Linked DNA regions of Arabidopsis thaliana. The protein of the gene in region 2 interacts with the protein of the main gene of each other region in a pairwise test. Each region holds a gene or a part of one and is shown on either strand. Other genes may lie near its edges. The genes, in order: AT5G45620 and RPN10.

What was found.
Region 1: the proteins of RPN10 (region 2) and AT5G45620 interact in a two-hybrid assay, tested with the Arabidopsis thaliana proteins (one study listed by BioGRID).

The regions. Positions count from the first base shown.
Region 1 is NC_003076.8:18,499,505-18,504,883, reverse strand, and holds AT5G45620 (Proteasome component (PCI) domain protein), read right to left. Parts: upstream 3,399-5,379; 5' UTR 3,295-3,398; coding exon 3,145-3,294; intron 2,851-3,144; coding exon 2,404-2,850; intron 2,206-2,403; coding exon 2,125-2,205; intron 1,930-2,124; coding exon 1,733-1,929; intron 1,640-1,732; coding exon 1,540-1,639; coding exon of another isoform or gene 1,462-1,539; exon of another isoform or gene 1,202-1,461; coding exon 1,016-1,201; 3' UTR 740-1,015; downstream 1-739. Other genes in the region: SUV2 (protein dimerization), read left to right, coding at 5,211-5,379. UniProt on the Arabidopsis thaliana protein: Acts as a regulatory subunit of the 26S proteasome which is involved in the ATP-dependent degradation of ubiquitinated proteins.
Region 2 is NC_003075.7:18,056,285-18,061,676, forward strand, and holds RPN10 (regulatory particle non-ATPase 10), read right to left. Parts: upstream 3,315-5,392; 5' UTR 3,176-3,314; coding exon 3,164-3,175; intron 3,083-3,163; coding exon 2,969-3,082; intron 2,875-2,968; coding exon 2,769-2,874; intron 2,642-2,768; coding exon 2,527-2,641; intron 2,448-2,526; coding exon 2,235-2,447; intron 2,024-2,234; coding exon 1,744-2,023; intron 1,660-1,743; coding exon 1,563-1,659; intron 1,480-1,562; coding exon 1,379-1,479; intron 1,281-1,378; coding exon 1,212-1,280; intron 1,127-1,211; coding exon 1,073-1,126; 3' UTR 704-1,072; downstream 1-703. Other genes in the region: AT4G38640 (Plasma-membrane choline transporter family protein), read right to left, coding at 3,600-3,860, 3,951-4,296, 4,744-5,392. UniProt on the Arabidopsis thaliana protein: Plays a role in maintaining the structural integrity of the 19S regulatory particle (RP), subcomplex of the 26S proteasome.

The DNA.
Region 1 (5,379 bases), on a different chromosome or scaffold from region 2:
TTTATATGAATTCCTAAATGTGTACAATAATTTGAATTTCATTTTCATACTCTGAAATATTAGTTATAAAAAAATTAGAAAAGTTTTAATAATGAAGAGATATGGAATGGCAGAATTTTTGTCCACATTTGCTTCTTAAACTGATGACCCTCAATGCACAAAACCAAAAGTATAATACATTTTCACTTTTAGTCTTTTAGATCAATGAAATCAACAATCTTCCTACCATAACATGAAATTTAGAATTATGTCTAGCTGTTATGGTTTAGAGCACAAATTTAGTAGTACAATACATCATCAACGACACACGCATATATACTCTCACTTCTTAGAATTCACATCTCCACAGTGGTTAACACTCTCGAAGTCACACCGGAATCATAAACGCCATCTAAAAACGTAAATCTTTTGAACCTAAAGCAATATAGCTTCCATGAGCAGGCATAGGAGGAAGAGAAGCGATAAGGATAAAGCCATTGCGTCGGAGAAAGAATATACCAACGGTAGTGACGTGTTTCAGGGTTATGAGGAGTGCATAGAGACAATGTTCTGTGCAACGTAACAATGATCGGAAACGCCTTGAAAGGAGTGAGATTGTTGGGAATTGAATCTTGGTATACGCGCTATGAGTCCAAGATGAAATCATCGGGAAGTGACGTAATCGGAGACCAGTGCCAGAAGCCGCGAGAATCCCCAAATTTTAGGCTCAAATCAACTATTCAGAGTGAGTGAGTCCACGTTTAGATCCTATCAGATGACTTTTTCTATAAACTGATTGACTTGTTATGGTTATGTGAATAATGAATGATTGTCAAGGACATGTTTTAAGAAAAAATGTATGAAAATAGTCTAAATGTAGAACTGAAATTTCGGACATCTTGAAATGGAAGTCAAAAGATTAAAAAGCAATTGTAATTTCTTCTACGACTGAAATAAAAAACTTGAATCTAATCCCAGAGAAGATGGTGTTTTACATTCAGTAGCTTCAAAAGGAGGAAGAAGGTTTTCTTTTCTCTTATGCTGCAACAAGATCTGGTGTCTCGGCTTCAACAGATAGTAAAGTGGTGTGAACTTTGTCAACCCAACTGTCTAATTGATCCCTCAAAGCCTTGATCTGTGGAATCCCTAGTACTCTCGGTTGCGCCCATGAGACATAAATTGTTCCGTTCACTTGGTCTATGATGCCCTCGATCAAATGCACCTGTATCATTCATTTTCCACTTTAGATTCTACAGAAGCATACACAATCATTCTATGTCTAAGTCAGGAACAAAACCAGTCAAGATCATTTGAGTTCTATAACAAAATTACGCAATAAGACGACAACTGCAAATACATAAACCTAGAGATACAATGCGTATGGTGATGTTTACTATGTTGTTCTTAATCAGATGACAGGTAGTTCAGTATCATTATGTTGGTCACTCAGACAAACTCTTTCCTTGGTCACCACAACAGATTTTAACCCGGAAGCTGCAGAGTTTTTTGGGTACTAAAAGAACACAAGAGAGAAAAATGCAAGGAGATACTAATACTTACAGAAAGGCTCTTCATGAGAAGGTGCTCAACATCTTCAATGGAAAGTTTAGTACGCTCAGCGATGATGCTCAAAGGAATGGTTCTATCTTCAGCGGGTCGGCTGATGTAGAGTTTAAAATCAAATGTATTAGCACATGATTTTATTTCTTTGATTGAAACGGCGTGAGGTACAATTGCCTAGAGAAAAGTTTACCTGAAGATGATCTCGATAAGGCAGAGAATGTTGATCTTTTCCAAAAGCTTCTTCTCGTTCTCAACAAGTGCTGGTTGAGCAATCAAGGATGCGTTGTGCACACGGCATAGTTCTTGATACTGAACTAAATCACCATGGTTGAATGCCTGTAGAATGTGGTAGAGCCATTCCACATTTGTTCCAAGGAGACTTTTCAACTGTCATCAGAGAAATGCTACATGTAAGAGAACCATCTACAATTCTAAGCAAAACTATAACATGAGAGTTAGAAGCCGTCTCAACTCACAAACAGTATCTATCGTAAATCCAAGCAATTAAAGATCAACAAGAAGCCTTTTATCTACACAAGAAAATATAACAGTAGTTTATGTCGAGGATGAAGGAAAACTTACAATGGGATGGGCTAACAGTTCCCCAAAGTTATAGATGTTCTCCCCAAGTAGAGCTGATAGTGACAAATCGAAAGCCAAATCCTGAAAGACACAGATATGATCTGACATTAGCAAAATTTGATCGGTGACTCTAGGGAAGCTAACTAGTACGCAACTTTTTTCTTCAGTTTCCTCTAAATTTCATCAAATTTCTGAATACTCTTATCCACTATCGCTAACAGGAAACTTAACATAAGAACAAAATATAAGAACAAGGTACATAATATTACAGGGGCATACCAGCTTAAACGATTCTGAAAGGTCCTCCACAGACGTGTATGCAAGATAAAGCAGAGCACTTTTGTAGAAATCAGAAAATTCTTGACGGCACTTATGGTACTGAGAAGACACCCAATAGAAGTTGGCATAGACTGATGGATCAATGTCAGTCATACTATCAAGAGAGCTCTTTCCATCGTCCAAGATTTTTTTGCACTCCTTCTGATCACCTTGCTCAAGCTTGAATAAAGCTTTTTGTGTTTCAATATAAATGATTGGTTCAGTAATCCTAGGCTCTTTAGTAGCTCTAAGTTTCTCAATCACGCTTTCAAGATAGCTAACTGCAGCTTCTTTCTCAGAGTACTGTCGAGAGACCACCACAGCAAAATGCGCAAGCTTCAGAAGATTGATCTTCGTCTCAAAGTCAGTGATGAAATTGTGATAGAACTGAATCAAAGCATCACCAGCCTGAAATGAAAAAAAATTATATTATAACAATGACACAGGTTAAGATCAGACACAAAAACTTGGAAGCAATCAAAATTGATCTATAAACCCTAAAACCTAACTTTCTTCGAAGAACTTAATCCGAGAAAACCCTATCATCTTCCAAACGGATCTCTAACTCGTGTTATTCGGAAGTAAAAACACAGATTCTACGATATTTGTCGAGATCTATGAACCCTAAAATCCACAAGGACCACTACTAAACCTAGATAGATATTGAAACCAATTAGTATTACGGAGGAGAAGCAAAAGTACCTGAAAGACAGCGAGAGCGATGAACTGTTCGAGCTTAAGGGTGAGTTGATGCCAGAGCTTTTTCTGATACAGATCTGCAAGGGAATTGTACCATTCGCCGAGCTCTGGATGCGTATTTTTCAGAGATTCCAAGTATTGTAGAGCAGCCATGGCGAAAGACGAAGACGAATGAAGAAACGAGTTTGCGAATTCTCTCGATCTTATGTAACTCAGCTCAGCTCTGCGTTTAAAGAATCCTAAAAAACCCTTTTCTCAGTGTTTTCACGCCCGACCCGAACCGTCCGGTCCGACCGGTTAACCCGTAACCCGAACACTTTTCCGGTTTGGGTTTAGTGCTAAAACCCAACAAGTTCAAAACCGAAAAAACCCACAAAAACTCGCAATTAACCCGTGACCCGGTGAACCGGTTGAACCGGCCGGGTGTGGGTTTTAAAAAGTTCTCTTGATTTTACAATAAAATATGGGATTTTAGACTTTATTCAATTATTTTTAGAAGTTTTTTCAGTTCTTAAATTCATTTGATGTTTTAGATTTTGTTGAAGACTTTACAATACCGCCTTAAAATTGAATCGAATGGTGAGAGAGACAACCGAGATTAGTTGTTTTAATTCACGATGTTTTATTAATTTATTTATGTCATTGATGATCTCCTAATATATTTGTTACGGTGTTAGACATTTATTGGATTTCAAATTTTTAACCACTTTATTATTATTGTTTGATTTTTTCTATATATATATATATATATTTGGGTGTAAATGATTTTATATTTTGTTAAATATAATATAATTTTATATTTGATTAAATATGATATGATTATTTTTGTTTTATATTTATAAATACTACAAATTTTTTTATTATAAAATACTCTAAATTTTCTATTAATATTAAATTTATTAAATAAATTTTAACTAATTAACCCGTGGTCCAACCCGGTTGACCCGGTGACCCGGTGACCCAGAAGGTAGTCCGGTTCATCGTCCGGGTCGGGTTTCAAAACATTGCCTTTTCTCTTCTTCTTTTTTGCTAAGCAGATAATCCTTTAATTTAAAAAGAAAAGAGAACTACCGGGACCAAAGTATAAATATGTGAGTTTTAAGGGGTATTTATGTAATTTAAATTATAATAAGGTGGATTTGTAATTTAGCATTCCACATGACCGGACAGAGTTTTGAAAACCGGAACAGAAACGAACCAGAAAGTTTTTTTCAGAAAAGAAAAATATAAATATTAGATCAATGTCATTTGATTACTAAATAATCTTATTTATGGTTTACCATAATAATTTTTATTATGACGGTATTTTACAATATTAATAAAATATTGCAAATTTTAAAAATGATTTTCAATTATTTATAAAAATAATATAAAACACATAAAGAAATCAAGTTAATAAGAAAAAGAGAATTTTAACCATAAATAATAGTAATAGTACAAAAAGTTTTTTGGATCCTAAGTTTTACCGACTGCTCCATCAAAAACTTTAAAGCGAAAGATGATTATTTACGATGGATCCGTAAATATAGATATCATAAATAGTTTGTATATTGTTGTTACCTTATGTTTTCATGTTAAGATGTTTATTTGCTCATTTTTCTTTTATGTTATGTTTTGATCAATGACAATTTAATCTATTAGGTTATGTTTTGGAATTAATTAGATAACATTTTGATAACCGGTGATAACAACAACTTGATGACCGGTGATAACAACAACGGTTATGTTTGCTATTTAAAATTTATTTTGAAAGCATGTTAAATGAAAAATTTGAATATCTGATATTGTTATATAGTTTACAGTCTTGTTTAATATTTACATGTACAATATGTCAGTATCAAAATGGATATTCGAAAATATCACATAAAAATTCAGATATCCAAATTTTTTTGAATTAAAGTAAATCACAAAATCAGATATTCCGTTAAAACCAATCGAATAACAAATATCACAATTGTTCCGGATATCCGAATTCGTGTCAGGCGTACTGCTCACTAAATGGGTATTTCGATTTCGCCTCTTTTCCCACTCACTCGCTATCAGTCATTCGAGCGATAGAGAGAAAGAGAATGAGTGGAAATGATGAAGAATTTAACGACGAATTTCTCCTCGCCATCGATTCAATCGAAACCACCCTGAAAAAAGCCGATATGTATCGCCCCCTACCTCCTCCGTATCTTCCAACGTTTCTACCGGCTCCTCCGCCATCGACGAAGATTTCATCGTCTTTATCTCACC
Region 2 (5,392 bases):
TCGAGATTTAACAGTGGTTGGGTAAATATTATGAAAGTGAAGGAATAACAAAAAAAAACATGTAGAAGTTGATAGAGGAGGATGATATTTTGGAAATGAAAGAGATGGGAGAGGAGGAGTGGTGAGAACTGAAGATAAGGAAAAAGGGGAAAAGGACAAAAGGATGACCACACACACAGACACAAGTGAACAAAGACAGACGCACCTGCCTCCTCTTCCTTCTTCTTTCTAATATTATTCATTTTCATTTGTAAAGAAACGACTTTTTCAAAAGGTGTTAGGTAGATGCAATAGAAGCTTCTATCAGTTTTTCTTCTTTCTTTTTTTTTATGTTATAGTTTGTGAGTCTTGTGACTCTTTTTGTCTTTCCCTTTCTTGCTCTAAAAGGGAACAAAGAAATTTCGTCACTAATAAGTTTCCCCAATAAAAAGTCTTTAACGATAGTCATATTTAGCAATTCAATTTGTTTGTGTAGCATAGTTTACACGTACGTAGATGATCAAAACTACAGCTCGCATGTGGCAATTAGCAGACAAATACACATATCTTGGGATAAATATAAATTAAATAATGCAAATAGATTGCAATTAGCAGACTAATAAGCGCATATAAAAATTAGATTGCAAAGAACAAAAAAACGAGCCAACAGTAGAACAAAGGAATTAAGTACCTAACTGCCACGTGGGACTTTAATTACTTGGAGAAAAACATAACTTCGCAGAAATGTGAGCAAAATTTAATTACCAATGTAGACTTTTTGCACTGTCGTAAGAATATTTCAGATTTGACACTTGTGCAAGGTTCATTACGAATTTAGGACTCGCTATTCTACTGAATTGATCGAGAGACCTGTAACAAATAGGCTTACTTTCTAAGAGCCCATTGACATAAAGTCCAATAAAAATTAAGAAGGAAGCTAGTCCTTGACTCGTACAATAACAACATTATAAAAAGGCGAGAGAGAGAGAAAAAAACAAATTTCACAAGGCAGAGAGATTAGTTAAATTCAGTTCCAATCTCTATCAAACCAAAGAAACAAGAGGAATTTTTATTGAGACTCTCAGATCCTTCTTCACTTCTTCTCATCCTCGCCTTTTTTGCTACTACTCTCTTCCTCCTCGGTACGCTGTCATTTTAACCATATACATTTATCAGAATCTTCTTTTTCAAATAACAAAAAGATGTAATCATAAACATCAACAAAGACACACCTTTGACTCGTCTGGCAGAGACGCTAGTAGTTCTTTAACTGCCGGATCATTTGGATCCACCCCAGGAAGCTGCGTGTACACAAAGTCTTAGTACCAAAGCTAACCCTACTACTTTTCTCTTTCATTTTGCTTGTGAAAAAAACTGACTAAGGTTTATGTAGGCTTACCGATGAGAGAACAGACGATATGAAGGCTTGATTTCCCAAGAGGTTGTTTCCAGCACCTGTAGCTTCACTTGACTCTTCCCCACTCATTGACATTTGCAGAGCTGCACATGGAGTATAAAAAAATATAAGAAAAATGCCAATTTTGATTGCCATGGATATACTTTTACCACACTGTTCTACTTACCTAAAGCCAGATCCTGGTCCTCATCAGCCGCTTCTGACATATTCACATCACCAACAGACATAGCAATTGCCTGATCTAGCAACGCACTGTCCTCATCCTGCCACAAAAGGTTGTATGATTAACAATCTCTCCGCCTGTGACTATATAAGAATGCTACACTCAATTTTAAGTAACAACTAACCATTGGTTCAGCGTTCTTGTCAGTTGTCCTAGCAACTGTCTCCTGTGAGGCGGAAGCTGTGTCCCCATCTTTGTCTTTCTGACCTGCCTCATCGGCCGCCTTCTTGGCAGCAGCTTCTTGTCTTGCTCTCTCCTCCTCCATGGAGACCCGAAGGGCAAGAGCAAGTTCTGGATCGATATTTGGGTCCACACCAAAGTCGAAGTCCCCACCTGCGGCCGCTGCAGCAGCTGCCGCAGAAACATAGCCACTTGCACCCTCATCACCCGTGAATACAGGTGTGCTGGAAGAAAATTTAAAAGTTAAAACACTATCTATGATTCAAATCACTGTCTAAATGTTTTGTTGCAGCATTGATAAAAAGCAAGACTAGAGAGCTCAAAAGACCTAAACACACAAAACCACATGAAGTGCACCTACCAAGCCGGATATTGTTGAAACTGTTCCTTTTACAATCTACATAACCTAGAAAAAAAGAAGAAAAGGGATGGTACCTGAGAAGCACATCTGAGAGAGCATTGGCTCCAGAAGGAACATGAACAATGTGGCTACCGTCATTGTTATTCACAGCTGTAAGGAGCGCCTCGAGTTTCTGAGGCTTTTCCTCATCATCATCCTCCCCGAAATTGACAATATCAAGAGAGACACTATTCTTCTTCAGCCTTTTTCCAACTATCTCTAGGGCCTTCTTCTCGTACTTGATTGGACTAAAAAGTAGAAGCAGAAGAAAAACATCAGTATAAAACTATACAAAAGTTACTCAGCAAAAACAAAGCAATTCGGTACCTTCCAGCAAAAACAATAATCCTTTGGCGTTGATTCTTGTTTTGGCGATGCTTAAGAGCTAGCTGGGCGATCTGGATAGCTGCGGTTAAGTTGATCTCTCCTCCCACATCAAGGCCTGAAAAGATGACGCAAGTAGCAAATTGATGTCAAACTCAATGATAAAGAGAAAGAACAGATTTTTTCTAATTGCTCTAAGTAGACAGCTAATAATAAATAGAAAGATTGGAGAGAGAGATACATACCGTGCATACAGGCCAGAATTTTGCCAAGATCAGAGGTAGGAGTAGTCAATACTCTAACTCCTTTGCCAGCCATTGTCAAAATCCCCACCGTATTCTCCGGATTCGACTGCAATTGCAAAAAAGAAAGATCCCTAAAAATCACAATCTCACGCAAACCCAAAAACCCTAATCGAATCAAGTGAAAAAACGTAAATTATTACCTGGGTTTTGGCTCCGCAAAGAAGATTAACAGCTTCCGTTTGCGCCTGTAACCTAGACGGAGAGTAATCTCCGTTTCGCATCCACTCGGAGTTGTCGATACATATCATAGTCGCCTACAACAAGAAATCATCGATGAGAAAAAGCATTCAACGTGGATCATCAACGAAGATAAGCACAAGTAATTGGAAAATCACCTCGAGAACCATCGTGTCGATAAGCAGAGAGAAGCTTCAAAAATTCTGTCGTAGAGAGAAAGTCAGGAAGGCAAGATTTAGATTTTAGTTTAGACCGATAATAATAACATTGTTCTTCTTTAAATATCCCCTTTACTTTTTTACTTTCTCCTTTTAGACCCTAATGTTTTACGTTTATTTCAATTTAGCCCCAATGGTTGTTTTTGATAAAAAGCAAAACAAAGTTGATTTATTAATGAATAAAAGAAACACAGACCACATTACAGTAATTCCTATAACTAAAGTCTTTCTTTTATTCAACATTGTTACCCCATAACTCTACAAAACATCAATATAAACCCCAAGAAGACAAACCACAGTTCACCAGAGAGGAATTTACAACGGTGCTAACAAACAAAAAAAGATACAACAAGCAGAGACGTTGGATCATCTTCTGCTATGCATTAAGAGCATTTGGGATGAGAGAAGATCTTGTGCTTCTGCTGATAGGCAAGTGAACATAAACCTCGTGAACTTCCTGCTTACATACATCCCCTTTGTCTCTATCAATCGCGTAACAGACATAGATTGTGTCAATCACATCGTCAAGAACATGTACAAAGAAAGCCAATATCACAATCAGTAACACCCACGCCAGTACAGCCACCACGTACGAATCTATACCCAGGTTGCTCACTCCTCTCAGAACAGCCCATGTCTGCTTTTGCGCATCATCAAACCCCGGAATTAGTCATTATGGCAATTATTAAATGCTTGGTTGGTGAGACAAGCAGAAGATAATACTTACCGCGACTGCATATGCGGCTGACAGGACAAAGACTATTCCGGTTAGGATTCTGGTGGAAACCGTTTCGACAAATACAGCTGACAGTAGGTTGCGTCTTAACAGCTCGTAAGTCATTTTCGCAGAGGTGCAATACGCTTCCCCTGTTATTGCAGCAAAGTTGATGGTGAACTTGTTGAGATAGTCAAGGGCACCAAGTAAGGCGTTTGCACAGCAACGGAGAACCATGTTCACTATTCCTTGTGTGTTCTCTTCTCTTGCATTGTCCACAATTGCCCGGACCACACGAACAATGCATATGAGAAGTCCTGATACACATATCGTACCAAAGGATTGACCAAATGCATTCCTGAAGAGACAGATACAAAAAATAATAAGATTCACACATGCTTTGACATAAACCAACAACAGATTTGAAGACTAATGCAAATTTGGATCCTCAAAGCTATAATCTCCTTTCAAAAATACCACTGTCTGTTGTCTCTTTTCACATTTAAAGTACCAAACAAGTTCAGATGATGGATTCCAATACAATATCCAATCTATAAGGCCAAGACTATGAATACCATGACCTAGAATCACTGAATACTCCAGAACGAAGCCAAGCAAGGGATACTTCGAATGACCATAGATTATATTTTATGAGGAAACAAAACTAAGAGAACTCAAAGCAAAAACTCCCGCGATCACACAAAACATATATTAGAACTAAGAGCACCATTGATTGTAAGAGAAACTGCACAGCAAATTCATTGATAACAAGAATAAAATAGAGAAAGATGTGGCAGCGAGTCACCTCAAAGAACTCCGGATGCATTTTTTAGGGATTGAGTCTTCCTTGGAGAAATACCACTGAGCAATAGCTCCACTTATCACATACACTTGCATTTCCACCATTACAGCAAGAGACCAGATCATCGTTAAAATGGCAAGAGCGTAATACGCAGGAACCCAAGAATCTTCTTTCCACTCACAAAAGTACTGACCATCCAACTCTCGCGGCACAAACTTCCCATTAAACCTTGCAAACACCAAGAACACCACAATCGGCGCATAGTACACCACTAACCCGAGAGTCAGCAGCGGCAGCACAACAAAAAGTTTCAAATTTTTGGACAAGGCATCAGATGCAACACTGATGATTTGGATAGTAAGATCAATTCTGTGCCAATTAGCTACTATGATCCAGACAATGATCCCGATGATCAAGAAAACAAAGACTAGGACAAGTATTCTGTAAGCTAGAGGGAGGGCATCGCTACAAGAAGAGCTAAGAGTACAGGCGACAAACCAATAGACATTGAAAAAGATGGGAAAAAGGACAAAGAGAGGTAAACAAGCATAAACAATCTGCTTAGTGTAGTGTTTGAGCAAAAGCAGGACGCTAAAACAGAAGGGCACGCTTAAAATAAGCGTTACAACAAGTGTCCAGATCAAATCCTTCT